Linked DNA regions of Mus musculus. The protein of the gene in region 5 binds, or shares a complex with, the protein of the main gene of each other region. Links are inferred from orthologs where the notes say so. Each region holds a gene or a part of one and is shown on either strand. Other genes may lie near its edges. The genes, in order: Actr2, Arpc1b, Arpc5, Actr3, Arpc3 and Arpc2.

Evidence for each region.
Region 1: Arpc3 (region 5) and Actr2 share a complex: the UniProt entries of both Homo sapiens proteins name them as parts of the arp2/3 complex. The link is inferred for Mus musculus from reciprocal best matches to the Homo sapiens genes ARPC3 and ACTR2.
Region 2: Arpc3 (region 5) and Arpc1b share a complex: the UniProt entries of both Homo sapiens proteins name them as parts of the arp2/3 complex. The link is inferred for Mus musculus from reciprocal best matches to the Homo sapiens genes ARPC3 and ARPC1B.
Region 3: Arpc3 (region 5) and Arpc5 share a complex: the UniProt entries of both Homo sapiens proteins name them as parts of the arp2/3 complex. The link is inferred for Mus musculus from reciprocal best matches to the Homo sapiens genes ARPC3 and ARPC5.
Region 4: the proteins of Arpc3 (region 5) and Actr3 are in contact, whole or in part, in a cryo-EM structure (PDB 6YW6), measured with the Homo sapiens proteins. The link is inferred for Mus musculus from reciprocal best matches to the Homo sapiens genes ARPC3 and ACTR3. Residues at the interface, in NP_001265485.1 of Homo sapiens: Tyr47, Tyr48, Lys50, Ala51, Phe54, Phe55, Lys56, Lys158, Trp159, Thr161, Cys162, Phe163, Val164, Lys165, Arg166; in NP_005712.1 of Homo sapiens: Phe203, Gln206, Asp210, Arg211, Glu212, Leu238, Val239, Phe242, Asn243, Ile253, Asp270, Gly272, Tyr273, Glu286, Phe287, Pro290.
Region 6: Arpc3 (region 5) and Arpc2 share a complex: the UniProt entries of both Homo sapiens proteins name them as parts of the arp2/3 complex. The link is inferred for Mus musculus from reciprocal best matches to the Homo sapiens genes ARPC3 and ARPC2.

What each region holds. Positions count from the first base shown.
Region 1 is NC_000077.6:20,077,842-20,082,520, reverse strand, and holds part of Actr2 (actin-related protein 2), read left to right. Parts: intron 1-1,722; coding exon 1,723-1,859; intron 1,860-2,348; coding exon 2,349-2,498; intron 2,499-4,679. UniProt on the Homo sapiens protein: ATP-binding component of the Arp2/3 complex, a multiprotein complex that mediates actin polymerization upon stimulation by nucleation-promoting factor (NPF).
Region 2 is NC_000071.6:145,120,387-145,125,065, reverse strand, and holds part of Arpc1b (actin-related protein 2/3 complex subunit 1B), read right to left. Parts: intron 3,410-4,679; 5' UTR 3,391-3,409; coding exon 3,327-3,390; intron 2,535-3,326; coding exon 2,430-2,534; intron 1,498-2,429; coding exon 1,275-1,497; intron 480-1,274; coding exon 372-479; intron 1-371. UniProt on the Homo sapiens protein: Component of the Arp2/3 complex, a multiprotein complex that mediates actin polymerization upon stimulation by nucleation-promoting factor (NPF).
Region 3 is NC_000067.6:152,764,416-152,769,729, forward strand, and holds the start of Arpc5 (actin-related protein 2/3 complex subunit 5), read left to right. Parts: upstream 1-2,126; 5' UTR 2,127-2,309; coding exon 2,310-2,452; intron 2,453-4,445; coding exon 4,446-4,518; intron 4,519-5,314. UniProt on the Homo sapiens protein: Component of the Arp2/3 complex, a multiprotein complex that mediates actin polymerization upon stimulation by nucleation-promoting factor (NPF).
Region 4 is NC_000067.6:125,414,578-125,419,256, reverse strand, and holds part of Actr3 (actin-related protein 3), read left to right. Parts: intron 1-952; coding exon 953-1,008; intron 1,009-2,876; coding exon 2,877-3,001; intron 3,002-4,679. UniProt on the Homo sapiens protein: ATP-binding component of the Arp2/3 complex, a multiprotein complex that mediates actin polymerization upon stimulation by nucleation-promoting factor (NPF).
Region 5 is NC_000071.6:122,403,512-122,407,092, forward strand, and holds the end of Arpc3 (actin-related protein 2/3 complex subunit 3), read left to right. Parts: intron 1-612; coding exon 613-739; intron 740-1,572; coding exon 1,573-1,667; intron 1,668-2,357; coding exon 2,358-2,420; 3' UTR 2,421-2,670; downstream 2,671-3,581. UniProt on the Homo sapiens protein: Component of the Arp2/3 complex, a multiprotein complex that mediates actin polymerization upon stimulation by nucleation-promoting factor (NPF).
Region 6 is NC_000067.6:74,234,610-74,239,966, forward strand, and holds the start of Arpc2 (actin-related protein 2/3 complex subunit 2), read left to right. Parts: upstream 1-1,907; 5' UTR 1,908-2,216; coding exon 2,217-2,290; intron 2,291-5,357. UniProt on the Homo sapiens protein: Actin-binding component of the Arp2/3 complex, a multiprotein complex that mediates actin polymerization upon stimulation by nucleation-promoting factor (NPF).

The DNA.
Region 1 (4,679 bases), on a different chromosome or scaffold from region 5:
GCTCTGGGGGTACTGGTTAGTTCATATAGTTGTTCTACCTATAGGGTTGCAGACCCCTTCAGCTCCTTGGGTGCTTTCTCTGGCTTCTCCATTGGGGGCCCTGTGTTCCATCTTACAGATGACTGTGAGCATCCACTTCTGTGTTTTTCTTTTGTTTTGAGATGGTGCCTGACTCTAGCTCTGGCTGTCTAGGAACTCTAGTCATCCTTTAAATAGAAGAGTGAGGGGTGGAGTTTTTCTCTGCTAGAGGCCTTGTTTTGGGTTTTTTTTGAGATAGGTAACGTAGAGTTTCTGGTTCTTCAATCACAAGCCTTCTGAAAGCTGGTTTCTGGTATGAGCACCAGCGCTGACCAGGTGATCTTAGCAGATTCACTTACTGTCTTGTAACTGGGTTAATAGTCACTTTTCCCAGTTGTTTCCTGTAAATGTAATTTTTATTCTCCTGTAGTAGTTACTGTCGCTGAGGCTTACCGCCCTCTGCTGACCTAGGCCTGGTCCTGGAAGCTTTCAGCCTCAGAGACTTACTGCTGGGTAAGCTCGCCCTCAGCCTCAGAGACTTACTGCTGGGTAAGCTCGCCCTCAGCCTCAGAGACTTACTGCTGGGTAAGCTCGCCCTTTATAGTTCTTTCTGAGCTCTGCCTGGCAGGTTCTGCGTGGCCTCATACTAACTTTGGCAGTCAGTTCTAGTCTTCAGGCTTCTTCTCATTCTCTGGCTCGCTCTGTCTTTCCTGTGTCTGCCTTGTTCTCTCTGCAACCTGTCTCTCTATAACTAGACAAGTCAAATTACCTCCCTCTTGTGAGAGTTGGGCATACCCTATTCTGCCAAATTTTTCTCTAATTCGTCATGTTGTTACTTAGTTAGGCATCACTTTCAAACACAGGAGCTTTCTTCTACAAACTAACTTTACCTTTATTGTTAGATTAAAGGTATGTGTTAAGGGCCCTTAACACCAGGGCAAGATGAGTTTGGGTAATGCCACTTAGCACCAAGTCTGAAACCTGAGTTCCATCCTTGGCCACACTTGGCGGCAGGAGAGAACCAGCCCCTGCACTTGCCCCATGTTGTCTTCTGACTTCACACGCACCATATGGCATGCATGTTCCCCTCCCTTCCCCTCCACGCCACATGTAAGTCAAATACAAAGAAAGAAAGTCTTCAGGGAGCAAATGCTGCCTGCCATCTGTGATTAGAAATTAAGTGCTGAAGTTGAGCCTAGGGGCACACACCGTTAGTCCCAGTGCTCAGAGGCAGAGGAAGAGGCAGAGGCAGAAGCAGGAAGATCTCTGTGAATATGAGGCCAGTCTGGTCTATATAGCAAGTTCCAGGATAGCCAGGAATACATAAAAAGACCTGTCTTGAGAAAAACAAAACGAGAAGAAATGGGGGCTGGAGAGAAGGCTCAGCAGTTAGGAGCATTGAATGCTCTTCCAGAGGACCTGCGTTCAATTCCCAGCACCTACATGGCAGCCCACAACTGTCTGTAACTCCAGTTCAGTTCCAGGGTATCCGTGGCACAGGACATGCCTCTAGTGCACACCTATATGCATGGAAGCAAAATACCCATACTCATAAAATAAAATAAATCTTTAAGAAAACAAGGAAAGGAAATGCTGGCTCTAAGCCTCACTAGCCACCTTTTTGTGGGTGGCATCTCTACTACATTTGAAACGTTCTCGCTTTGATTTTCTGAATTAACTCAGAACCTTCTGGTTCTTGTGCAGGTTTACTGACTGGTGTAGTAGTGGACTCTGGAGATGGCGTCACTCACATTTGCCCAGTATATGAAGGCTTTTCTCTCCCTCACCTTACAAGGAGGCTGGATATTGCTGGGAGGGATATTACCAGGTATCTTATCAAGGTAAGTGAGAGGAAAATATAATAAAAGGTAGTCTTTTTTTTTTTTTTTTTTTTTTTTAAGTTTGTTTATTGACTTATACAAAGACAGAGGCTAGAGAGCTGGCTCGGTGATCAGGCGCACATACTGCCTTGCAGAGAAACATCTTGGTTCCCATCTTGGCCCGCTCACCATTGCCTGTAACTCTGGTTCCCATGAAGTCTAATGCCTTCTTCTGGACCTCTCAGGCACATATCCACACAAAGACACACAATACACATAATTTAAAATGATAAAATAACTTAGAAAACTCACTATACAAGAGTTGTAGCCTCACCCCAGGATAGCATTATTGGCTTTGCTATTGGTTCCCGGGATTGAGTTTAGGTTGTCGGGCATAGACAGCAAGTGCCTTTGACCTTCCGAGCCATTTTATCCTCTAGGAGATTAACTTTTGTTCAGTGGAACTCGTTCTCATAGATTATTAATTTACTGCCATTCTTTTTATACCAGCTGCTGCTGTTGCGAGGATATGCCTTCAACCATTCTGCTGATTTTGAGACAGTTCGCATGATTAAGGAAAAACTTTGTTATGTGGGTTACAATATTGAGCAGGAGCAGAAGCTGGCCTTAGAGACCACAGTGTTAGTTGAGTCATATACAGTAAGTATCCTATGTAAAATACATTATGGGTGTAAAGGGGCATCTGTGTTTATTAGTGTCACCTCGACTCCAGAGTCTTGGTTTGTTTGGTCACACACACACACACACACACACACACACACACACACATTGCTGAATATCATACCTAGGGTCTTATGTGTGCCCAGCAGATTAGGCCTTAACATGGGTATTAGTTATTGTAATATGTTTACATATGATTTCTCAGGATTTCCTGCTATGTTTAGTTTCTGTGATTAGTTATTAGGGATTCCATATATTGCAAATTAAGGCAAGAATTAAATTAGAATATAATTAAAAATGGAGGTCATATTTGAGATTCGAGCATCTTGAGAGTATCGCTCAACATGTTTTGTACAGTGTCATTTCTCTGGGGCTGCTTAGGAGTTATGAAAATAGAGCACAGTTATAACTGTCACACACTGTGGAGACAATGGATGCTGCTTTGTTGTCTGACTTGTAAGCTCTTTGATGTGAAAATGTCGTGTGCCTGTGTCTCAGCCTGTCGGACCATCCTGAGAGTCTCGCTATATATGTACTACACAGTCCTCCTGCCTCGGCCTCCTGAATGCTGGGATTGCATGGACCTCAAATTTTTGTAGTGTGTCATGGAGCTAATCATCTAAGAAATGTATTTTAGGAAGTATTCATGCTTTGATTTTTTTTTTTCCCTCAGACAGAGTCTCATTGTAGCCCAGGCTGGGTTAGAACCCAGGCTAGTTTCAGATTTATTTTAAAATCCATTATGTTGCACACATTTGTGATCCCTGGGCTTAAGAACACTTGTTTTTTTTTTTTGTTTTTTTTGTTTTTTTGTTTTTGTTTTTTGAGACAGGGTTTCTCTGTACAGCCCTGGCTATCCTGGCACTCATTCTGCAGACCAGGCTGGCCTCAAACTCAGAAATCCGCCTGGCTCTGCCTCCCAAATGCTGGGATTAAAGGCGTGTGCCACCACCGCCGGCTTAAGAACACTTGTGCTGGGCATGGTAGCACATGCTGTAATAAAAACACTCAGAATACTGAGGCAAGAGTGCCATATAAGTAGTGAGACCAACCTCATGAGGCCTCCAAAACCAACCAAAATAGCTTGACATGGTGATTTCCATGAAGTCTAGGCTAGCCAAGGGTACATAGTAAGACCCAGTCTCAAAAGTCAAAAAAAAGGGAAGAAAATATTGTCAGAGACTAGTTGTGGTAGAACATGCCTTTAATTCCAGTACTTAGAGGCAGAGGCAGGAGGATTCCTAAGCTTGAGTCTATATAGTAAGTCCCAAGCAGGCCAAGAATAAAGAGACCCCCTGTCTCAACCCCTGCCCTCCAAAAAAAAAAAAAAAAAGCCAAAAAACAAAAAGATGCCACTTTAAGGGCACAATAAAAATGTATTTTATAATGTCTCTTAACCTCCAGGTTTGTTCTGGTGGCTTACGATCCCAATTTTCAATCTTGTTTTGAAGGAAATGGCATAAAGCAAACCATGAGAGAACTAACAGTGTAAGACTTGATTGATTTGTGTTGGACACTGGTTATGACAGGAGAGTCATTGAATTAGCTCAAGCTCAGCCTGGACTAATAGCCAGGCCATCTTAACCCCGCTTTCCCCTTTCCAACACCCCCACAAAAACAAAACCTGAGACATGGTGGTGCCCACCTGTAACTTCAGTAAATTTGATATGGGGCTGAAACGTTACTGAGTTTGAGGCCCACCTGTGTATATAGGTCAGCCTCAGACTCTGAATGACTGCCAGGCACAGTGTGCCCACCTGTAATCTCAGCACTTGGGAGCCAGGCACAGGAGAATCTCTCTCTGTAAGCCTGAGGCAGACAAACCAGCCATACAGACCAGAGTTCAGCAGGTAAGGGATTTCTGCGTAAGTCATGTTAAAGTGTTGGACTGTCTAAATCTTACTGGCTTAAGTTAAGGTTATAGTTACCACTTAGATAAAGTTATTTAAGATGCAGTAGCATAAAAAATTTTCTAAATCAGTGTTCCTTAAATTTTTGTTTTGTTTTGAGATAATGTCTCAATAGGTAACAGCCCAAGCCGGCCTTGAATCCATGATCCTCTTGCCTCAAGAGCATTGGCATTGCAGGTTATGCATCATGCCCAGCTGCGGCTGTGGTTGGTTGGCTTGGCTGGTTGGTTGGTTTTTTTTTTTTTTTTTT
Region 2 (4,679 bases), about 23 Mb from region 5:
GCCTGGAGCTGGGAGGAATTTGGGTCCACGGGCCAAGAGAGTGAGGTTGTAGGTCCAGAAGTGAAAAATAACAAAGCGAGTTTTGTTGCGGTTACCAGTCATTCGTATGCTAGTGGACTAAGCACACGCCGTTCTCCTTCAGTAGAAATCAGGAGAGCTGGAGTAGAGGAGGCAGGGGAGGGCTTGGGCAGACTTTGCTGACATTCAAGAGATGGCAAGGACTCCCTCCACCCCAGGGTGCTAACAGGCCACGATGGTGACCATTTGCAGAGCAACCTGCTGGACATGAGGAGCTGGGACTCCTCCTCCACCCTCCAAGCCCTGCTGCTTGTCTGATAGGGGTCTCCTTCCCAGGCAGACGTCCAGCTCACCTGCACTTGAAGTCACAGGAGCCTGCTGCCAGGAGCACGTTGTTGGGATGCCAGTCCAGGCTGAGCACTGTGGAGCGGATGGGCTTTTTTATGTGTTTGCACACCCACCTAGACACATGGGTAAGAAAGGCAGGCAGGTGGATAGGTAGCATGGATTGTAGCATTCCAGGTAGGTCAGAACTCTCTGCCTTGTCACTACCCACCACATAAGATCATGTGGTTCTAAATGGTTAGGGTGGAATATGAATTCTGTTTCTCCAGAGTCAAAACTGTCCTTGTCCTCCTACATGGGAGATTTAAGACACAGGTGGGACAGGCATCTGACACACACACAAATTATAATAGAGAATTGAATTCCAGGGTAGCCTTGGCTACATAGCAAGACGCGGTCTCAAAAGCCTCACCTCGGGTGGGGAATGATTGAGCAGCAGGTTCTTAGCATGCATGAAGCACAGACGAGGCGTGGTGGTGCACACCGGTCATCCCAGTATTAGAAGGGCAGAGGCAAGAGGAACACACGTTTAGGATCACCCCTGGCTATACACTGAGCTTGAGGTCCTCCTGGCCTACATTCAGACCCTGTCCTTTTTTAAAAATTGTGGCTGGGTGTTCATGAGTGGTCTCTGAAGCCAGATGCCTACTGACTGTCGGTGTTGAACCCGCTTAACAGTGCAGCAAGGGAGGCTGGTGGTGGTGCGTGCATGGAGCTCAGTGTAGTATCCCCGGAAGTCAGAGTTGTGGGGTCACTGTAGAGAGGACGCTCTGCCTCACCAGTGAGGCTCAGAAGACAGATGTCCTGGAGTCTCCACATTGCATCTGCCATGTTCAGGGACATTCTGATCTTGCATCACGTATGCACCCGTACCCCAGCCCAGGTTCCTCCACCCCCAGCCAAGCACCCACCAGTCATTCTCCTGCTCAAAATAACAGATGGAAATGACCCGGGAGCCGCTGCCCACGGCGAACTTGTTCTCATTGGGGGCCCAGCGCACACAGCGGGCAGCTCGATTGATCCGGAGGATGACCAGTGTGGGCTTCCACGTGCGGCCCTTCAGCGTCCACACATAGGCATTGCGGTCCGTGCCGCAGGTCACAATGCGGTTACTCTCAGGGGCCCAGTCGATGCCTGCAGGGTCAGGTCAGAGGACGTAAGACTAAAGGCACCCAAGCTACAGCGGCCATGTCCAGATCTTTGACTGTGGTGCCCAGGGATTTGCTCATACTAACCAAGTGCTCTACCACTGAGCCAAGCATTCAGCCCCACCAGAAAATTTTAGGCAGGTGTTCTACTGTCGAACCATGACCCTGCCCCTGACAACTGGGGGATTCAATGCAAATGCTCTACTGCTGAGACCCATGACCACTGGAGAACTCCAAGGAGGTGCTGTACTGCTGAGCAGCATCCCCCACCCCTCATGCTCTAGGGGTGACTACAAAAACTTATTAGCAGGGAGCTAGCAATCTTCACCAGCTAACACCAACCATGTTGGAGGTAAAGCCAGGAAACAGGTAAGAACTGTGCCTCCTGATACTGAGCTGCCGATCAGGCCTCTCCTGAGCATCTAAGTGCTCAGTTATAGACACCAATATAATCTCTTTACCATCTTTAAAATTTTATTTTTGCCTGGCGTAGTCGTACACGCCTTTAATCCCAGCACTCGGGAGGCAGAGGCAGGCAGATTTCTGAGTTCGAGGCCAGCCTGGTCTACAAAGTGAGTTCCAGGACAGCCAGGGCTACACAGAGAAACCCTGTCTTGGAAAACAAAAAACAAAACAAAATTTATTTATTTACTTAGTGCCTTATATGTGCCATGGCTAGTTTGTGGAGGTCAGAGGACAACTTGCAGGAACCGTTATTCTCTGACCACGTGGGTCCTAGAGATGGAACTCAGATCTTCAAGTTTGGCAGTTAAACCCCCTTTATCCACTGAGCCATCTTTATGGTCCCTAAATCAACTGGGATCAGAGTCCTTTTCATTGCAACCCAGACTACTCCAGCTAATACTGAGCGAGTTGCTGGCCACGCTGGCCCTGCCCCGTCCCCTTGCCTCCTCTCACCTGTCACCTGCCCGTTGTGCTCCTTCAGCTCGTGCACCTTGTTCCACTTGGCACCGCTCTTCTCATAGATGTGCACCTCATGGTTGTTGGGGCAGATGGCGATCTCTGTAGGGAGACGGGCATGAGCTTAAGGAAGCAGCGTGGGCGCCCACCCTGCCCACCTATGCTCTCCACTAGAGTACTCTTCCAGAGCCAGGCCGTCCCTAGCATTTAGATTCCCCCACAGCAGTCTCAGGACCCTGGAGCCTCACCTCATCCCACAGCTCTGTGTTAGCAAAAGTCCCGTTACTGCCCTGTCTCCATGACATTCCTCTCGGCCCTGGGGCCCTCCTACCCACTGTGCCCTTAAAGTGTTTCACATTCTGTGTGTTTGTGTGTGTGCACACGCGTGCGTGAGCCACAGCATGGGAATGCAAGTCAGAGGACACCTTGTCGTCTTGAGTTCTTTCCCTGCACTATGTGGGTTCTGCCGCTCAAACTCATAAAGCTTGCTTGGCAAGCAATGCTGAGCCATCTCACTGGCCCATTTTGTTGATTTTTAGAAGTAGGTTTCACTGTGTAGCTCAGGCTGGCTTCAAACTTATAAGCCCTCTGCCTCTGTCTCCTGAGTTCTGAGATGATACGCGTGTACCCCCACCCACCAGAGCAGATCCAGAAGGCCCAGGCTGTTGAACGGATCACCCAACATTTCAACACCTCCCTTTCTACCCGCCTGGCCACCTCTGCCTGCTCTGCGGTTCTACGCCACTCTCCCAGGAGCAACCACTTGCTTTAAGCAGAGATCCAAGATGTGGAGTCTGGCTGCACCCCACCCCTCAAAGCTGTCCCACTACCCTGCCACTCCATTGGACCCAGCAATCCCAGTTCGGAGGCCACCCTGCAGAAGCGAGCACTCACGTGTACGGTCCTTGTTCCAGGCATGGCAGCTGATGGGCTCCACCAGGAAGCTGTGGTAGGCCATAGTCACTTGTCTCCTGGGCCTAGGGAGGGAGGCAGAATGCAGGTCACCTGTGCCCTGCTCTTGGCAGGGAGGAACAGTCTGCTCACCCTAGTTTCCTGACCGGCCAAGTATGTTACAGCCTCCCCGTGAGCCCGTGTCCCTCATCCCAAGAAAGCAGGTGACACAAGATGTCCCAGGCCGCAGATAGCTGGAACAGTGTGGGACCCTGAGCCACATAGGCCTGCTACTTTTCACCTGTGCCTCAGTTCCTTCCGAGTGGAGGATACGCCCCTGCTCCATGAACGCACACACGCAGTCCCATATAAGAGCAATGTAAAAATTAAACAATACCCCTAACCCACTTACAGCAGAGCCTGGCTCAAAATGCAGTTGGGCCAGTCAGTGCCCGGTCCTCCCTTCCCAGGCCCTGAGGGTTGAGCAAAGCAGGGAAAGTAGATAAGACAGCTGGCACTCTGGGGCAGGCTCAGAGCTGGGCTCCCGCAGCTTCCTCCCCTACACACTGAGGTTCAGAGGACTCTGGGACTGAGGAGGGACGCCCAGCCTTCAGGCTTCCCTACAGCCTTTCCTGGCTAAGGAGCTGCCTCGGAGCCCTTGGCGCACGGCCCCTTCCCCCAGGGCATTCACCTTGCTACTCCCACATCCTGCCAGATGTGTTTCTTAGCCATTCCAACCCATATTTTCATGCCTGGGATCTCCTCTTTGCCTTTCTCTCTAGTCTTACTCCACTATGTCACTCATCCAAAAATACCGAAAGTCACCTCCTCCAAATCCCTGCTCTGTCCAACCCCTTCCCTCACCTCCCCAGACTCAGGATGTTTCGAGACTATGGAGAGACATCATGGCACTGTCGGCCAGCTGTGTAAGCCAAAAGCTCACCTCTGCCCCACCCCCACCCCACCTCTAGCTGAGGGGAGAGGAGAGTGGGGTGGTATACCTAGGCTGGGCTTGACAGCACATGCCTGTAATTCCAGCAATGGACGAATAAGATCTGAGGCCACCCTGAGCTACCCAGACCTTGTCTCAAGAAACAACCAGAGCTGGGGATTGTAGCTCAGTTGGCAGAGTGCTTGCCTAGCGCTAGTGAGGGTTCCCTCCTCAGCACTACATAAATCCGGTGCGGTGATACAAGCTTGAGAGACAGAGGCAGGAGAATAGTCCTAACTCAAGTCATCTTCAGCGCACAGTGAATTCTACCCAGGCCGGCCCGAACGACGCGAAACGCTGTCTTATAAAGCGATGACAACACTGTGCAGCCAGGAGGTGATCTGCAAGTGGGCTGCTGGGCTGGG
Region 3 (5,314 bases), on a different chromosome or scaffold from region 5:
TGTCCAACTAAGACAAAAGGAAACACTAGGGCTTTGGAAATGGCTATGTTAGCTCTTAAATCCTCGTTTCCATCTGCACTCAACAGTGCATCTAGTGTTTAATTTTCTCTTCAAAGAAAATCTCAATTTAAAAGAACAAAAAGTACAGTCAGCTTTAACATCTAAAAGAGTATGCTGTGCAGCTTTTATGGGAGTTACACAAGATTGAAACAGAAAAAAAAAATTAAACAAATCTTTATCCTAAGTTACATAATGCCATCACCGTAACAATGTTCTTATACTCCAGCATGAGGCTTTTAAAGTAAGCACTGCTGGCAGGGAGACATGTCTCCTTTGCTGTCTTAAGACACGAGAGTTTTTACTAGCTGACAATGTGAGTGTTAATCAAGGAAATGTCACTTCTATCAACTGAATGATAAACCTAGAGGGAGTGCCACATTGCTTCTTCACAAGGAAAAGGGACACACTTCACATACAGCGCTCTCTCTACATAAACACATACATACACATGTGTGTGCCTATGATCAACAACTGTTTGATCCTGACGTCTTTCTCTTTTTGATTGAGTCTCTATTCCCAATGTTTTTATATATTTTATATTTCACTAACTCATCAAGCATGCACTAACTACCTTCTGAATACCTAATTTTATTTTATATGAAAAAAGATACATAAGAAAAAATTAGATTCAGCCCTTCAGAATCTTGGGATCTCTTTCCCCAGCAAGAATAAAACCTATCATTAGGTAGTTTATGAAGCTCGTGCTACATAACCCATAACACATTGCACACATATGCAGAATTTTAGAGTCTTTTCGAAGCATTTCCACGTATTGAGCCCTGGGAACATCCTTGTGAAAAGCACATTAGCCCCATCTTAGTACTAAGAAATCCAAGGTTCCAATTTTTAAGCAACATGCCTCAATCATGCAGATTATGAGAGCAGAAAAGTCGAGACTCAGCCTGCTTTTTGATCCCAAGCCCAGTGCTCTTTTCCAGTACGGCAGAGCAAACGAGAAAACTCAACAGGATGACATCCAGCCTTCTGCTATACGTGAAACCAGGTGGTTCTGCATCGAAGCAGGGCAAAGCCAAATGTCTGAATTAATTTTATTCTGTAAATACTTGTACTACGGTATATTACACAGAGCACAGCTATTATTTGATTAATCTTTGTGCCTCTGCCTCCTCAACAGAAGCTCTGATCTCACAAACCGGAATATGGAATATAGCAAAAAGCTGATTTGACGTGCTTCCAGGAACCTTAAACAATAAATAACAACCTTGAAAGTCCAGTCTCTATTAATCCTTGCACTCGCTATTTTCCCTCAGCACTGAAGAGCCTAACTCGCCCACCCTCTTCTGGCATTCTTGCTCCAAATAACTACTTATTTTAAGATGTGATGACTGATTCTAGAAAATGCTACAAGTTTGCCCCAATTTCACTACCTGGCCCAAGCGTCTTTTCCCTCCCTCCAGATGGAGAGAATACCTAGTTCAGATTCTGCAGGTCCGGTCGCGATGCTGTCACACAGCACTGACAGGTAAGAAGTGACCTTTTCGATTCCGTCCTTGGGGACCTCCCACCGACAGCGTGCCAAGAGTCCAAGCCGGGGAAGGGGCTCTCAGCTCGGGAAGGCAGCCCCCGGCGGCGCACGGTCCGAATGGAGGGCTCCGATCACTAGTTCCGAGCTGGGCATCACTTTGCCTCATACTCCTGCAGACTGCAGGGGACTAGGTTCTGCAGCCAGTCCATCGCACCCCACGCGCGAGTCCGGTCACCCACACTTCACACCGGACCCCAACAACCAGCGGCTGGCACCGACAGCGGCGGCGGCAGCAGCACTCCAGGCCACGCTCCCGAGGTGCCCATAGCCTCCAGCCCAAGACCCCCCGCAAGGCAGGACCGCAGAAAAGCGTTTCTATGGGAACGTCCCGGGCATCACGTGATGCTCCCCGGCGACCAATCGCGTCTCCGCGCCGCCTCTGCCAGCTTTCTGTCGACCCGCCGCCCCCGCCTCCTTCTCCAGCCCCGCCCCTTTCCTGCAGCGGGCCCGCGCGTGCGCGGTGCGTCCCGCGCGCTCCCCTGCCGACGCGCGCTCCCGGGGGACGCGGGGGCGGAGCGGGGGCTGAAGGATGGCTGCAAGCAGAGGAGGAGGCCGAGCCCGCTAGCGCGCAGGCCCAGAAGCTTGCAAGCCGCGGCTGCCGGCGACGCCCCAGAGCGGAAGAGGGAAGTGAGTCGGACCGGGCTGGGCTCGCTAAAGGAGAGGCACCGCGGAGGGGCAGGCCAGCGTCGCGTCGCGATCCGGGATGTCGAAGAACACGGTGTCGTCGGCCCGCTTCCGGAAGGTGGACGTGGACGAATATGACGAGAACAAGTTCGTGGACGAGGAGGACGGCGGCGATGGCCAGGCCGGGCCCGACGAGGGCGAGGTGGACTCGTGCCTACGGCAATATCCTTACGCTCGCGGCGGCCGGGGGTTGTGGGGACGCGGGGCCACGCGACCGGCTGTGCCCGGCTCTAGGTGGGGACGGAGGACAGGAGCTCCCGGGGCCAGCAGGCCGCCTGTACCCCGCGGCCGCGCCGGCGAACTTACCGGCGGCGCCCCGATTCCTCAGGTGCGCGGTCCTAAGCGGCCGCGCCCTCCCCGGGGCACCGCTGGTGTCCTAGTGGGCACCTGAGCCAGTCTCTGCCCGGTGGGGACACGGGCGTCCCGCTTGGAGTCTTGCTTTCCTGTCCGGTGTGTGTGGTTGGCGGAGCGGGGATAGTTTATCCCTAGCCAGGAGAGATGGAGCGGTTCGCAAATCGAGGCCCTCGGTACATTCAGCCCCGGGGCTATTTCATCGGCAGCATTGTTTATTAAGAGAGAAGGGCTTTGGCAAGGTGGCATTATAATTCATGAACGAGCCGAAGGGAGTTTTCTTCTCCAAAATTCCCAGTTAAAGCTTGGAACCTTTCACCTGCTAAGAAAAGGCCACTAAAAAAGGGATAGCGAATGCATGCAGAGAATCCCTGGGAATAATATAAGATGAACCCCAGTGAATAAAGCAGAGAATGAGTCGGTTCTATAAATCAACATTGTTTTTCTGAAATTGTTTCCCTTCTAGTTAAAACATGGCTGTCAGTTCCTGGTTCCTTGGTTTGCATATCTGAATATTCATAACCTCGAAATTCATTTGCATCGATCCCTTAGAAAAATAGAATGTTACAAAAATCCAAACTGGAGCTTTAGAAAAATCGTATTCATTAAGTCTGTTCATACAGCTCTCCCCTCATCAATTTTCTACTAGATTATAATGAAGAAAGTGAGCAAAAACAGTGGTAACCACAGCATCAAACGTACATATATGTGCAGTATAGGTTTAACTTTCATTACCATAACTTTCACAGTTGTTACTAATTTGATTATTTGTTAAAATACTTGGGTTTTTTTTTTCTTTAAAAGACCATGCAGGCTTGACAGTAGTTTATTACCTACTGTAGATAATTTTTTATTAGACCCTTTGCACAGAAATGGTGAGCTTATTCTTTGTTTGTTTGGGTTTTTTTTTTTTTTTTTTTTTTTTTTTTTTTTTAGTCTTTATGGTGGATATATGATATTTTATTAAACTAATGTATTTTAGGTAATTTCTGGTGATTCCTACTGCTGTGTTCATTATCAATTCAGTCTACCTTTTTGTCAATCCATTTTAAAATATAAAGATATTGTCTCTGGTTCTAACTAGGAGAGACTTCAGATTGGTCGGGTACTACAGATGGAGGAACCAGTGACTCTGTTTCTCCTTTTAGGGAAATGACTGTCTGTTCTGACAGTCTGATTGGCCTTCCGTTTCCCCTGCTTGCTAACTCACCAGTGCTTTCAGAGACTGAGTAGGTATGGATGGTCCAGCCCAGTTTGAATAACCTGTAGGAAATAAAGTAAGCTGCCACCTACAGGTCGTGCGGGTTACTACATCATCCAGAGCCCTGTTCATATTAAGCTATTCTTCCATTCTGATTGCCAGAATAATCAGCCAGCATTTCAGTTAATACACAGTGTAGTTTCAGTATAAAGTCTAGGGTTGTTTTCCAGCAAGAGTCACACAGACAAGTGGTATACTTTGTTGGTAAACTGCATCATTTGGTGACCTAATAATTCTTAACACATAGTCTTAAGATTTCTTGAATACCCATCTAGACAATTGCGTGTATCTCACTGGAAAGTGTAATCTATTTGACTGATAGAACTGAGGTCAAAACAGTCTTTGCTTTTTTTTTTTAAATCTATTGTTTAATTCCAGTATTTTTACCATTGGTTGACATGTGGGAAACACACCCATGCAGTTTCTAATATCGAACATAATGACCATAGTAACTTTTGTTACTGTGCAGAAAGTCAAGTCAAAAACCAATATTCCTGTAAAGCAGGGGCCATCCTTTTCTGTTCCACCCTTAACCTTCGTTACAGGAAACATGACAGCTGCTCTCCAGGCTGCTCTGAAAAACCCCCCTATTAACACAAAGAGCCAGGCAGTGAAGGTGAGTTTCAGACTACAGCATTAATCTCTTCTGTTTCACTATTAGCAAAGTCCTTTGATGCCCCACAGTCAACATTGTACCTATTTCCTGTCCTTGACACAAGAGTTTACAGTGTGACTTTTGAGACTGAACCGCAGTCTATAACCTGGTCTGAAACTCAGGAGATCTCCTGCCTCCACTGGGATTAAAGGTATATGCCACCACGTCCAGCTTTAAAGGGAGCTTGTGACAAGTAAAAATGTCATGAAAAAAATAGCCCTGAAATGTAGAGTTAGGAGAGTGCCGTGTGGAGTGCAGTAAATTTAAAGGATAGAGCCATCACTTCTGCGTGTGCTTCAGGAGGAATCCACTCAGGTTGGATTTAAATGGGCTTGAAAAATAAATTTGCCAAACACACACAGCTGCTTCTTGATTTCCTAATTTTGTAAATATTAAATATTATAGAAAACAAAGCATGCGTGACCTTAAAAAGGTGATCTCTGTCCTACTTCCTTGGGTCTTATAGTTTTTCCTAATTTTGTAAATATTATAGAAAACAAAGCATGCAAGCTTAAAAAGGTGATCTCCATGCTATTCCTTGGGTCTCAGTCACTGCCTTATATGGTATCGCTGCACACCTAAGGAGTTTCTACAAGGGTTTGTGCTCTTTTAAAAAATAAATAGAATCTTACACTCCAGCTGTGTAGTCATGTACATGATCTTCTTTCCTTAGCAATAGATTATTTCTGTGGCATTTAACTGCTATACACTAGTATGTAACATCTTATATGCAACTGATCCCTGTTATTGCATGTTA
Region 4 (4,679 bases), on a different chromosome or scaffold from region 5:
TGAAAGTGTTCCAATCAGTATGTAAAAGGGGCATACTAGTCACAGTGTAAACTGAGTGTAGTTTGCTAATTTCCCTTTGGACATTTCCAGTCTCTTACCATTACAAACAAATTTATAGAGAAGGTTTTCTTGCATGTTGCTTCACACATGTAGTAATAGTCCTGTATTATTAGTTGATGGAAGTGGTAGTGGTTAATGGGATAGCTCAGTGAGTGCAGATGTTTGCTGCCAAACCTGATTGCCTGTAGACTTCTATCGCTGAATCCATTTGGTGAAAGAGAGAGAACTTATCTCTGAAGGTTATTCTCTGACCTCCACATTCATGCAGTGGCTTGTGTACACACAGTAAATGAGTAAACTTACAAAGGCAGAGTGTGTGAGTAAAGGCTCCTGCTGTCAAGCATCGTGATCTACATTTAGTCTTTGGGACCTTCATGATGGACAAGACACCCAACTCTTGAAAGTTATCCCCCGACTTCCATACCTGCATTATGGTGCACGTCTGTGCATATATACATGCATTCATACATACATAATATACTTTTTTTTTTTTAAGTTGTGGGCATTTGAGTTTGTAGCTTAGTAATAGAGCACTTGCCTAGCTTGTGCAAAGCCCCATGATTTGGTCCACAAATACAGCAGAAAGAAACAGAACTGTAGATATATGTGATTTTGATAGTTTCTCAGTGTTACAGCTCTCACCTTCCTTCAACTCGCTCTGTAGTCAGGCTGGCCTCAAACTCACAGAGATCTGCCGGCCTCTGCCTCTTGAGTGCTGGCATTAAAGATGCACACCACCATTGCCTAGCAAGTGATTTAGATAGTTTTCAAGGCAGAGATGCTGAGTGAACTAAACTTCTGAATATGTATATACAACAAACTCTCACTTTTTAACAAAATTGCAGAATACATATTGAGATTAGTGAAATTTTATGAAATTTTTATTTTACAGATATACAAAACTAGGATATGCTGGAAATACAGAGCCACAGTTTATCATCCCATCATGTAAGTATTTCTTTTTCCCCATGGATGAGCTGATTTAAAGGTTTTCCTCATTTCATTATCAAAGTAAAACAAGTCATCAAGCATGCTATTATGTCAGAATCAGGCATTTAGAAACAGGATTGCCTGTAGATGGAACCTTATTTCCAACTCTTTTAACTATTTATTTTAGGTCTTTACCAAATCTGCTAAGTATCTCTTTAAGGAAAACAAAACAAAACCAAACCCAGTAGTGAATTGATAATTAAATAGTTTCTGCTTTGAGGATATTGCTGCTACCTTTGTGTATCTGTAACTGGCTATTAAGTAGCTCAGCTAAAGTGACCGTCCTTTGGCTGGAGGATACCATTACTGTTTGCAAGACCTATCCTGTAGACATCTGATGCAAACGCCAATATTTCTCAGTGAGGAGCAGTGGTCCTTGACTCAGCAGCCTCACTGTTTGCTGATATCCTATAAGCATGCTATGTTTAACATTGTCTTTGGGAACTTTTGTTCTATTCTGCTTCTGTTAACATTCTGCTAGTTGTAACAGTTTTAGTAGATTTAGATTGTTACAGGTATTTTTATTAGTAAAGGTGTATATTATCCTCAGCGTTATTTTTGTATTTTTGATTTCCATCATCTTAAGGCTGTTTGCATAATTATAACAAGTGAAGATGCTTAACTTGAATTCACAAAATTAAAACCTAATTAGATTACATAGCAGGTTTTTTTAAAACAGTGTTTTACTTTTAGTCACGTGTGTATGAGGCTATCTATCTGCCGTGTGTGTATATGGGTACCATATGTGTATATGAGACACAGGAGAGTATCCAATCCCCAAGAGCTGGAGTTATAGTAGTTGTGAATTAATCCGTGTGCTGAGAACTAAATGTGGGTTCTCTGGGTGAACTGTATGCTCTCTTAATCACTAAGCCAGCTCCAGCTCCAAAAAGTACACCAGTAGATTTCACCTCTGGGAATAGACACAGAATTCTGAAATTAGTTAAAGGGATTACTTTTTGTATTTAAGATTAAAATTTAGTAGATCCCCATTGGATAAGAATAAATAGAGATGTAAAGAAAGCTTGTTTTTAAAAGTTCTTTTGTAGATTTTTCTCCTTTTATTGGTTAGTGTTATTTACCTTTAATTTCTTGCTTATCCATTAAGCTTTATATTGACTTTATAAGATTACAATTTTATTTTGAACTTATTGTACGTATATTGAGTATGGTTGCATAGTTGTCATAACATACATGTAGAGGTCAGAATGACTTTCTTACAAGTCAATTCTCTCCTTCCATCATGTGGGTTCTGGGGATCGAACTTAGGTCATGAGACTTGTAGAACAAGTACTTTTACCCACTCAGCCATCTTTCTGGCAGTACAGGATTCAGAGCTAAGCTAAGGGTTGGTAGCAAAGGACTGCAATTCTTATTACTTGGGAAGTTAAGGGAGGCAGGTTCCAAGTTTAAGACTGGCTGGATAACTTAGTGAGTTGTGTCTCAAAAGTAAAAAATTTAAAAAGGCTAGGTAGATAGCTTGGTGGAAGTATATACCTGATATGTGTAAAACCCTAGTAACACACATGCAGCCACATAATTGGAATCAAAATTTAATAGTTGTTGGAAATGGAGCTGAAATAATCCCATAGTAATACATTTGGGGGGTTGATACTTGAGGCCTGATCCCTGAGATGAAGCTGAGGTATGGGTGTCTAGAAGGCATTTTGTCTATGGCTTTTGTTCATTAGTTGAGAGTTTTAAGTATTCTGGATCATGCTTATTTGTTGTTTTTAGTAACATTTTACAATTGAAGAAGGCAAGTTAAAAGTTGTTTCATTTGAAGAGATAAAATTTTTAAGATGTCTAATTACTTTACTTCAAAGGTATTGCCATTAAAGAGTCTGCAAAAGTGGGTGACCAAGCCCAGAGGAGGGTGATGAAAGGCGTGGATGACCTAGACTTCTTCATTGGTGATGAAGCAATAGAAAAGCCCACATATGCAACAAAGGTATGTTTCTAAGAGGGCTCCAATCAGCCGGTGGCCGGTTTCACTCTGTCGTGGGCTTGTTGCTTTCTCACATTGAGTTTTCTGGTTTAAAATTTTCGAGACAGGAACTCACCTGGAACTGGCTGTGTAGACCAGGCTGCTCTTGAGTTCATAGATTTGCCTGCTTCTGCCTTTTTGAGTGCTAGGATTAAAGGTGCTTAAAGCCAGTTTAAAACCATATCTCGCTCTGCTCTCATCTTCCTAACTGTAAAAATGTCTCCTTTCCCTTTAGCTTTAACACAGTGAAGTGGGTGGATTTACTTTTCTGTGCCCTAGCCTCTCAGGGCCCTTGGTAGGGAATGAGTGTTCTTTCGTCTCCGCATTACTACATCTAGAGAGATTTCCTTCTTGGATCAGATACTCATTTCTTCTAAGCCATGAGGGAATCTTGTTCTTCCTCTTTCCTTCCCTGCCTTTTCTGTCTCTTGATTGACATAGAACTTACACAGCAAAGCAAGTAGTCTTCATTATGCAGCTTGGAGAGTTTATGTGGCTGATTGTACCAGGTAAGAGCGAATCTTGTAACACAGGTCTTCCTGTGTCTTTGTTCACAGCCACTTCTACAGCCTTCTTGGAAGGTAAACACTTCCAAGCATTCATTTCCTCCTGCGTGCTTTTCTCTCTTTGTAATTTTAAATGAATAACTACCCTACCATATGTAAAAATAAATCGTTACAGTTTTTTGCTTTGTGCTGAAAAGAAAGTAGCAAGAAACAACTTCTCTCCCAGGGATATTATGAAGCGAGTAAAAGGAAAGGAAAGCAGGATAGGGCGTTGTAGGCATGAACCACAGAAGTTGTTAGTCTAGTTGGGGATTTAGCAGTCCTTGAGGGATAAATTCTTGAGCTGAGTCTGGAGTTAGGCAAGATGTACAGACAGCCATTAGGCAGAAGCTAGTACAAAAGAGGGCTTATTAGGAAGACAGGGAGCAGCATAGCTTATGTGCCTGAAATCCAGGGGCTTCATGAGAGCCAGTTCCACCCACAGGTAACATTCATGGATATACTTGATCAACTGTGTTCCTAAGTTCTGTTTGGATTTGAATTTTGGCTGTGCTTCTTTTTAGCTTTGTGGTATTATTCTATGGCTTATCTTTCTGTAATTTAGTTATTTGTGGATGCAATGGAGCTATTAGTACTTCAGGGTTAGTGTAGACCTTGTTTAGAGGATGGCTATAAAGAAATTGTTGTAGTACTCAAATAGTGAAGTGTAATTATTTGAGGGAGGCATGTGTATTTCTGAAGTAATGATGTATGGCAAGGGATGTTTGTGACTTGGGCCAAGGCAGAAGTTTTCAACCTTAATGCTAAGACCCTTTAATATAGTAGTTCCTCATGTTGTGATGATTCCCAACCATATATTTTGTTGCTACAGTTATGAATTATAATGTACATACCTGATATGCAGGATAGCTGATAATCAACCCCCCAAGGGTTCATAATTCACAGGCTGAGAACTGCTGGACTAAGGTAAATGCTAGTAGGGATAAAGAGTTTAAAGGGGTATGTGTGTGTGTTCATTCACATGTGTACATTAAAATGTTACAGAAAAATTCAAAGCTAAAAGTAAAAGGCTGTTTGTGGTGCACACCTTTAATCCCAGCCCTTGGGAGCCAGAGGCAGAGGCAGAGGCGCAGAGG
Region 5 (3,581 bases):
AGGACAGGCTAACGTCTGATCTCTTCTGATGTGACCCCTAGGTGACTGACACGGAGGCAGAGGGCTGGGAGGTGTAGAGTGGACAGCAGCAGACAGCCGTGTTAGAGTCTCCCCCGTGTAAAGGCCTCAGCTGTTTCAAAAAGCTGACTCTGATGTCCATATGTATCTCTGCTTCAGACTTTAACTAGTAAGACCCTACTGTAGGGTAGAGGCGCACACCTTTAATCCCAGCGCTCAGGAGGCAGGAGCAGGTGGATCTCTGAGTTCGAGGCCAGCCTAGTTTGTGTCATGAGTTCAAGGACAGCAAAAGCTACATACTAAGGTTCTGTCTCAAAAAAATAAAAATAAAAGAAATTACTGTGTGCATTTATGAAGAGAAATGTGTGCCTATGTGGCAAGTTTGGTTTTTAGTATTTGAACTCCTGCTTTCCACTGCAGTAGTTTCTCTGGGCTTATTCCTTGGGAGCAGTGTTGAGAGGGCTGCAGGTTCAGGCACTGCAGACGGGCACTCACAGAACACCCACCCACGCGTACACCCCTGGCAGCTGCGTGCAGTGAAGGGTTGTATTTGGAGACTTACTCTCACGTACCAACGGTGTCCTTTGATTTTAGTGCAACTCCAAGAGCCAAGGCGAGAAGGAAATGTACACGCTAGGAATCACCAACTTCCCTATCCCCGGAGAGCCTGGCTTTCCTCTCAACGCCATTTATGCCAAGCCTGCGAGCAAACAGGAGGACGGTAAGAACAAGACTGGAAGTGTGTGTGTGTGTGTGTGTGTGTGTGTGTGTGTGTGTGGGCAAGTCAAGTGGGTGTGAATGTACTTGTGTGCTTGTGTGCTCCGAGGCCAGAGGTTGGTTTTGGGTCTTTGGTCACTGTCCACGTTGCATATCTAGGCAATATCGAGGCAAGCTCTTTCACTGCACATGGAACTCACTGACTGAGCTCGTGTAACTGGCCAGCTTGCTCCCGGGATCCCCCGGCCCTGCCCCTCCTAAGGGCTGGCGCTGCAGGCAGGCCAGCCACCGTGCCCACTGTACTTGTATGTGGATGCTGAGGATTGTTTCTCTGGTTCTCGTGCACGGCAGGCTCTTTCTCCTCTGAACCATCTCCCCGGCCCACTGGCTGGTGCTCAGATTGACAGCGGGGTGCTCAGCACACGCGTGTTGCCTTAACTGTCACAAGAGAGCTTGGGAACAAGTGTAACGAACATGCAGAGATTGTTGAACTACTACCAAAATGAACGTAGTTATGAAACCATTCTGTGTCAGCAAGGTGGCTCAGCTGGTAAAGGCAGCCGCTGACAAGCCTGACGGTCTGGGCTTGATTCCTGGGACCCACACACACAGTGGAAGGAGAAAACCACACTCCTGTAAGTGCGCGTATGCGTGCGCGCACACAGAGGAAGAGAGAGAGAGAGAAAGAGAGAGACCAAGACGACCAAGAGGACCAAGACCATCTAGGCCATTCTTTCTTGTCCTAAGCTGTCTGAATGTGTGCAAATACTTCACCAAGGTCAGTGTCAGACAGGCCATGGTTAGGGCCTCCTCACACACAGATTTCCTGTATTGCAGAGATGATGCGGGCGTACCTCCAGCAGCTGAGGCAAGAGACCGGACTGAGGCTGTGTGAGAAGGTTTTTGACCCTCAGAGTGATAAACCCAGCAAGGTGAGATGTCCCCTTCTGCCTGTTTAATTGGAGCTGGAGCCTCTGGCCCGTGGCCTTCTAAACCGCTGAAGTCTGCTGTCGAGAGCGATCATTTCTGCCTGCTCTGGAAGACCACGGCTATCGTTTATGTATGGGCTGTGTAGCCATATGTCCACAGTCTGTGGCTGTTGGTCCCTGCTGTGAAATGGCATGGCATCTGTATGTGATGTAAATGCCATGTAAAATGGAAATGGTGGCTCTGTTGCATCAGGTACAGAACAGTCACAGGGAGCAATCTGTGTGTGTGTGCGTGTATGTGCATGCATGCGTGTATACAGTGCGTGTCAGGGCCCCTTGGTTGGGGTGGGGGGGGGGGTGAACAATGGCCCAGGCTGGACTTGAGCTAACTGTGTGGCCACAGGTGACCTTAGCTCCTTCTGCCTCTGCCTCTAGTTCTGCAGTACACAGGCATGCTACCGCGTCTGCCTCACATGCCTTCCTGCCCGTGGGTGGATGTGATACGAGCCTCACGCCTGGGGAGGGCCAGGTGGACGCGTCTCCCTGCTCTGTGGGGTCACCTTTGAGTTCAGTGGGAGGTGTCTGCTGTTTACACTGTTGTTTGTCATAGAGAGAGGCTGGAATGCTGGCCCGCGCCCACACTTGCACTGTGCCCTGACCCTGAGCATATGCTCTGTCTTGTGCCTTTGACAGTGGTGGACTTGCTTTGTGAAGAGACAGTTCATGAACAAGAGTCTTTCGGGGCCTGGGCAGTGAGAGGAGCCTGGGCAGCACCATCACGTGGAGACACATCATAGGACACACAGGCCGATGTGTCTGTTCATACCTACCGTATCAAGGAGAGAAGAGAGCCTGTCTTTGCTGGAAAAGCTCTTGGTCAAGAATTGGGAGGGTGGGTGTCGGGTGATTTCGATTTTTGGCAGTTTTAAGCTGGTACTTAATATATAATAAATGTCACTGCTTATGTTAGACATTGAATTAAAACATTTTTGAGAAAAAGCTTACACACACTGTACCGTGTATGGGAAAGGGTGGTATATTGAGGGATAGGGCTTGGTTTTCTATTTATGGTTTGGTTTGGTTTGTCGTTTTTGAGCCAGCCTCACTGTGTAGCCCAGACTGGCCTGTAGCTCGTTTTGTCTCCCAAGTGGGTCTTAAACCTAAGTCCTCCCACCTTGACTCCCTGTCCTGGGATTGCAGGAGTTCTCCACTACGCTGGGCTCCATCAAATCCTTTCAAATAATGAACAGTTTGGTGGTTGTGAGTATGTATGTACAGTTTCATAACCATGACGTACATCTAATTCTACAACGCTTTTATTACCCCCAAAAGATGTGCCTTTAGCAGTGATTTCCCTCCTTTGCTGATAAGCCTCCTACCCCCACCCCCAACTTCTGGACTAGTCTATGCTCTATCTTCATAGACTTGTTTATTCTAGATACTTCATGTGATCATATGAGTTCTATAGTGGATAAGTCAGCCTTCCAGTCTGGCTTTGTTTAATTAGCGTGTTGCTAAGCCCATCCCCCCAGCTCCCCATCGCTCATGTAAGTGGAATCAAACAATAATTATCCGTTCATACCTGGCTTTTCACGTGGCACAACATCATCAACACCCACCCATGGTGGTGCATCCATGCTCTGTCCGTTCCTTTTTTATGGCTGAGTAATATTCCATTTGGACACAGATCACGTGTCTGTTCATCATCATCCAATGGATATTTGTGTTGTTTCTGTCTTGGAGCTCTGACTAAACACTGTTGTCAAGAACAGCCATGTACACATTTCTAATGTGGACACAAGTTTTCATTTTTCTTGCTTATCATAGCCCTCAGGGTAGGACCTCTTGAGTCACACGGGAACTGGAGAAGGCCTGCGTGGTTTTTTCCCCCCACACTTGTGCTGTTCCATATTCCCA
Region 6 (5,357 bases), on a different chromosome or scaffold from region 5:
AACCCAGTGTGGAGTCCAGAAGAGGGATCTCAGGGATATTTATGGAATAAGGAAGGAAGTAGTCTAAGGATTGGGCTAAGGTGACTCAAGCAAGAAAAAGCAAGTAAGAACCGGTAGGCTGTGCTTTCCAAAGCAAACTTTACTTCTCTTCAGATTGTGCATGCTCAGAAAAGGGCAGCACAAATACCTTCTAAGGGTGGAGTCTTGTCCCTCTGTAGGTGACAGGTCAGCTGTCAGAAACCTGCCTAAACCTGAGGGGCCTATGGCCTCAGTGTGAGAAAGACGATGCTGTTGTCAACTTCTTGAAAAAAAAATAATAACTCAGGCAAAGATTAGACACGTCGTAGGTGTCATCTTTAGCAAAGCTAGTGGGACTCTATTGCTTAGCATACACATTTGTGCTTTGGGGTTTGAGAGATGGCTCAGCAGGTAAAGTACTTGCTAGGCAAGGCTGATGACCTGACTTTCATCCCAGGATTCCACAGTGGAAGAAGATAACCAATGTCCAAAAGCTGTCCTCCAGCCTCCACTCAACAACCACGATGCACATGTACTCTCCCTATAATAATAAATCTTAGAATTCCATATTTGTTCATTTGCTTTGAGACAAGAGACAAGGTCTCACCATGCAGTTCTGGCTTGCTTGGAACTTGCTGTGTAGAACAGACTGGCCTGGAACACACAGAAATCTGCCTGTCTCCACCTCCCGAGTGCTAGGATTAAAAGTATGCCTCACCACAAGCAGCAAAAAAGATTTTTTTAGAGACAACTGAAATGAAGTAAGAAAGGCATATTGGTGTGAACTGAGAATCCCAGAACTTGGAGACACCAATACATGTTCAAGGCTAGCCAGAGCTACAGAGCAAGTCCCTCTTTCAAAAATCTGGACAAACAGGGCCAGGGCGTGGCTCAGCAAGTTGTGCCTGTTGTTAAGCCCGATGACCTGAGTTCAATTCTCAGGATCCATGTGTTGGAGAGAGAAGGGAACTGACTACCAAAAGGTGTCCTCTGATCAATATCAAACAAAATTTTTTTTTTTATTGCATGGAGAAGAGGCTTAATTAAAATTGTTCCTGGAAGAGAAAAAAGTGGAAACATGGTACCCAAGCTGAAAGGACAGGTGGCGGTGGCGGCACTTAAGCAAAGAAATAAAGGTATGACAGGAATCCCTAAGGCCCATCTGGATTCCTTTCCTTTATTGCCCAATAACAACGTGGAATTTATTGCGTTTTTGTTGTTGTTGGTTTTTTGTTTTTGTTTTTTTTTTTTTTTTGGTTTTGGTTTTTCGAGACAGGGTTTCTCTGTATAGCCCTGGCTGTCCTGGAACTCACTTTGTAGACCAGGCTTGCCTCTGCCTCCTGAGTGCTGGGATTAAAGGCGTGCGCCACCACGCCGGGCTTTTATTGCGTTTCTTTTAGCAGACCATAAGCTTTAGAAGGTCAAGTCCTCATCTATTGCATTAATCACTGTATCCCTGGGAAGGAGAGATGGCCACTAAACAGTCGCTGGCGAAGAATAGGCACAACGGTGCTGCAGGGTAGCCCTAAGCACGGAATGAGCAAAAAGCACCCACAAGTTGGAAGCAAGGGATCCCCCCCACCCCAAACAAGCTTCTTAAGGGGGCTTCTGAAATAATATCGGAAGGGTGGAATCAGGCTTCTGGAATATTCGCGAAAGGGGCAGGTGGATTGTACGGACAACGGGGAATGACAGGTGAGCGTAGGACTCTCCTGGTCAGGAGGAGCGGGGCGGCGTGTGGCGCATGCGCACGCATGCCCTCTGCCTGCCTCCTCACCGGGACGCGCTTGCGGGCGAGTGCACGCGCGAGGTCGAAGCGGAAATGGCGCCGCGGGGCCGCGCGTGCGGGCGGCGAGCGGAAGTGGGTGTGAGAGCGGAAGTGGCCGGCTGGAGCCGGGGGCTGGGCGGGGACCGGGATCGTCAAGTAAGGCGGCGGCGGAGGCGGCGGCGGCTCGGCAGGCGGGTTGAAGCTTCGGGGGCCAGGTCGGTCGGGTGGTGGCTGCCTGCTACAGGCAGCGCGTGCCGGGCCAGCGCGTGTGTCCGCCTCTCCCCACCCCGCTCCCCGTCCCCTTCTCCCCTCACCTACCGCACCCAGCCCCCCTCGTCAGGGGCAGCGGGGCCGCTCCCTCCGTCCTACCCTCGATTGCCCACCCTCACCGCCCTTGTTTCTCCTTCCCCTGCCCGGGGCAGCCGCCGCCATGATCCTGCTGGAGGTGAACAACCGCATCATCGAGGAGACGCTCGCGCTCAAGTTCGAGAACGCGGCCGCCGGGTAAGCGCACGCCGGGAGGAGGCCGAGTTGACCCCAGCTAAATCCCGGGTGGCGTCCAGCTCCCCAGCCCTAGAGGGGGACAAATCGGGAACCTGGCGCGGCTTCAGGGTTTCCCTGGCAGGATGGACGTGGGAAGCCACGGGGCGCGGTGAGCCGAGGGCCTGAGATGCGTGGGGAGAGGCTGAGATAGGGATGCGGAAGCAGCGAGAGGACAGGGGCAAGGCGTGCCAGAGAACAGGAGACCTGTAGGACGTGAGGGCAGCCGAGGCCAGAAGTCACGCCCGAGAGCCTACGGTCCTCAGGGGGGAAGAGAGGGGTGCACTTCCCTCTGTCTTTTCCGTCATTGTACCGAACCCAGAGAGACCCTTTTGGGGAAGCTGGATTGAATGGAGTTTTCAGGAATTCCCAGGGCGAGGTGGGAAGAACGTGTAGGCCCAGATCGCCACCAGCATTCTGCTTCCCCACCCCCATCTCTCGAGACCCCAGGAAAAGCAGGAGGCAAGACTGAAAGCAGACCCAGGCTGCTAGGGGGGTAAAAAAAATCTCTAACCTACTGTGAAACTAGCCATTTTGTTATATATCCTTTAGGCAAAGCCAACGGTTCTCCATCCACACTCTCTTTAGCTCTCGAGACAAGCTTGCTCTATTTACTTATTGGTTGTGTGTCTTAAATTCTTATCAAAGACCCCGGTCTTTGATTTCTTCTGTAGTAATGCCGACTGGGTTAATAGCTGCTTCTGCTCCCAGAATCTATAAAGTTCTTAAGATAACCATTTATAACATCAGCATCTTAATATATGGGACGTATTTCCAGCCCTCTCTGTCATACACAAAAAAGCAAACTCCTCCCTTAAAGCCGCGTTGCCTCTCTAATATATTTAAAACCTGAGCAGAGGAATTGGGTTTTAGGTTCTAATTTATGGTGGCCTGTGGCCATTCCTTTGCCTCATTTCCTCATTGGTAAAGGTGGGGCTTCACATTTTGGTTTCACAGTTAGGAAATAAGTGCAGGCTGTTTTCTGTGAACTAGGAACTAGAAATAGGAAAGTGCTTGCCGATCCACAGAGGGAAGAGGACTGGGAGAGGGGGAATTCATTCATTCTCCCCCTTTAATTCTAAGCATTTGTAATGAACTTGTGGTTCACAGACATCGAAAGCATGAACCCACTACTTACTCGGAATACATTGTCTGCTCCGTCTCTTTTGTAAGGTTACAGATTTTACCTGCAAAACAAAATGGGACATTCCTTGAATTGGTGCATTCAGTGTCATGCTGTTTCCTGCCCTGGACTGCAGTTGAGCATTTGTGCACCTCACTTGTTTCTTGTCTGCAGCTTCTTTGCATTTTGAGTTTTGGAGTTAGTCAACACAGGGCACTTACTGTGGGTGAGGGGGGTGCGTGCTTTTTTTTTTTTTTAATTAGTGTAGCACAAAGGAGGAAGTTAAAATAACTTCTGCATTTTCACTGCTGATCTTAATACATACATTCTCAAGTCTTGACTAGCAAAGAATGAGTCCTGGGTGGTTACAAGCTGATCTACAAGATAAATGGCTGTGTGTGTTCAAGTGGAGGCATGCCTTTAAATGGAGGAGGACTTTCACACTTACTTATTAATAACTTGATTCTAAGATGTGACCCATTATTCAGAACTTTCTGTAGCCCTTTTTCTTTTAGAAAACTCTCCTTAAAGTTCTGTGGTTGGTGGTCTATGCCTGTAGTCCAAGCACATTCAACTGTAACTCCAGCTTTCAGGAGCTCATAGGAGACAGGAGGAACAAAAGTTCTAGGCCCTAGTGAGACTTTGTATCAAAGAAAAAAGAAAAAGGCAGGCCAGACTGGGTGTGATGTGCTTGTAATCCCAGTGCTTGGGAAGTGGAAGCAGGAGGACCAGGAGAGCAAGGCCAGCCTGGTCTACCCTGTTGCAAGTAAAAAGCTTACTCTTTCAGAAAGATTAAAATAGGGTTTTAAATTTGGAGGGCATAAGTTAGAATTTCTTTGGGGGGAGGTGGTAAGGGTGCTCACTGCAGCCAGGTAAAATGTCTGAGGAGGTAGGAGGTTTTGTCTTATTCTAGCTCATCCTTAGAATGTATGACTTAACAAATGCACTCAAAACATTGTGTTAAAAATACTTTGATGTCTTTGAGAAGAGACTATGGAGGGCGGGGATTTTCTGAAATTGGCTGTTTCTGTGGGGTGTAATGGCACCCTCCTATAATCCTAGCACTAGGGAAACAGGCAGAAGGGTCAACACAGGTTCTAGTCCAGCCAGGGATATTTAGTGAGACTTTATTTCAAAAGAAAAGAAATTAAAAGAAAAGCCTACCTCTGAAAAAAAAAAAGTGTTTCCAGGTCCGCCCTTTAAGATGAGGCAGCACTGGGGTGGTTACAGAGGTCAACAAGGATGTCTAGTGTGCTCATCATAAACATGGGTGCGTCTCACCAGAGCCCAATACCAGGCAGCAGCTGAAAGCATGGGGCCCTTCCGAAGAGAGCCTGTTATCGAAGTTAGGGAGGGACTGATGTATACGCTATATTGGGAGAAGATAACGAGCTTAAAGAGAAGAAGCCCGGAGACCCCAGAGAGATGAGAGGCTGTGCAGGGTGGAAGTGGGGAGAGCTGAGCCCCACACTGCTCTTTGCACTTGGCAGAAGAGATTAGTCAGGGAAGTTATGATCATGTAGCCTTTGCCAGAGGGATTCTTTCTGTTCTGGAGTGTCCTGTACCATAGCCACTTACTATATGTGGCCCGTTATTTAAATAAAAAGATGAAGTAAAACTAAAATTTGTTTCCTGAGTTGGACTAGCTGTGTTGGATCTTTAGACTCCATTGCCACTTGGGGCGAGCGACTGCTGTGTTTGCCCACTGTTCGAGCTTGTTACTGCAGACAGTTCCGTTGGACGGTGCTGGTCGCCTACTGACAATGAAGGTGTGAGCTGGTTTCCTCTGGGGAGGGTGTTTGAGTCCTCAGGGCCTTGCACATGCTGGGAAGCACTCGCCTGCACTGCTTCCCAGCTCTCGGGAGGCGTTCTTCAAAGATGTTAGAGTAGTGCAGTGCACACTCCAGA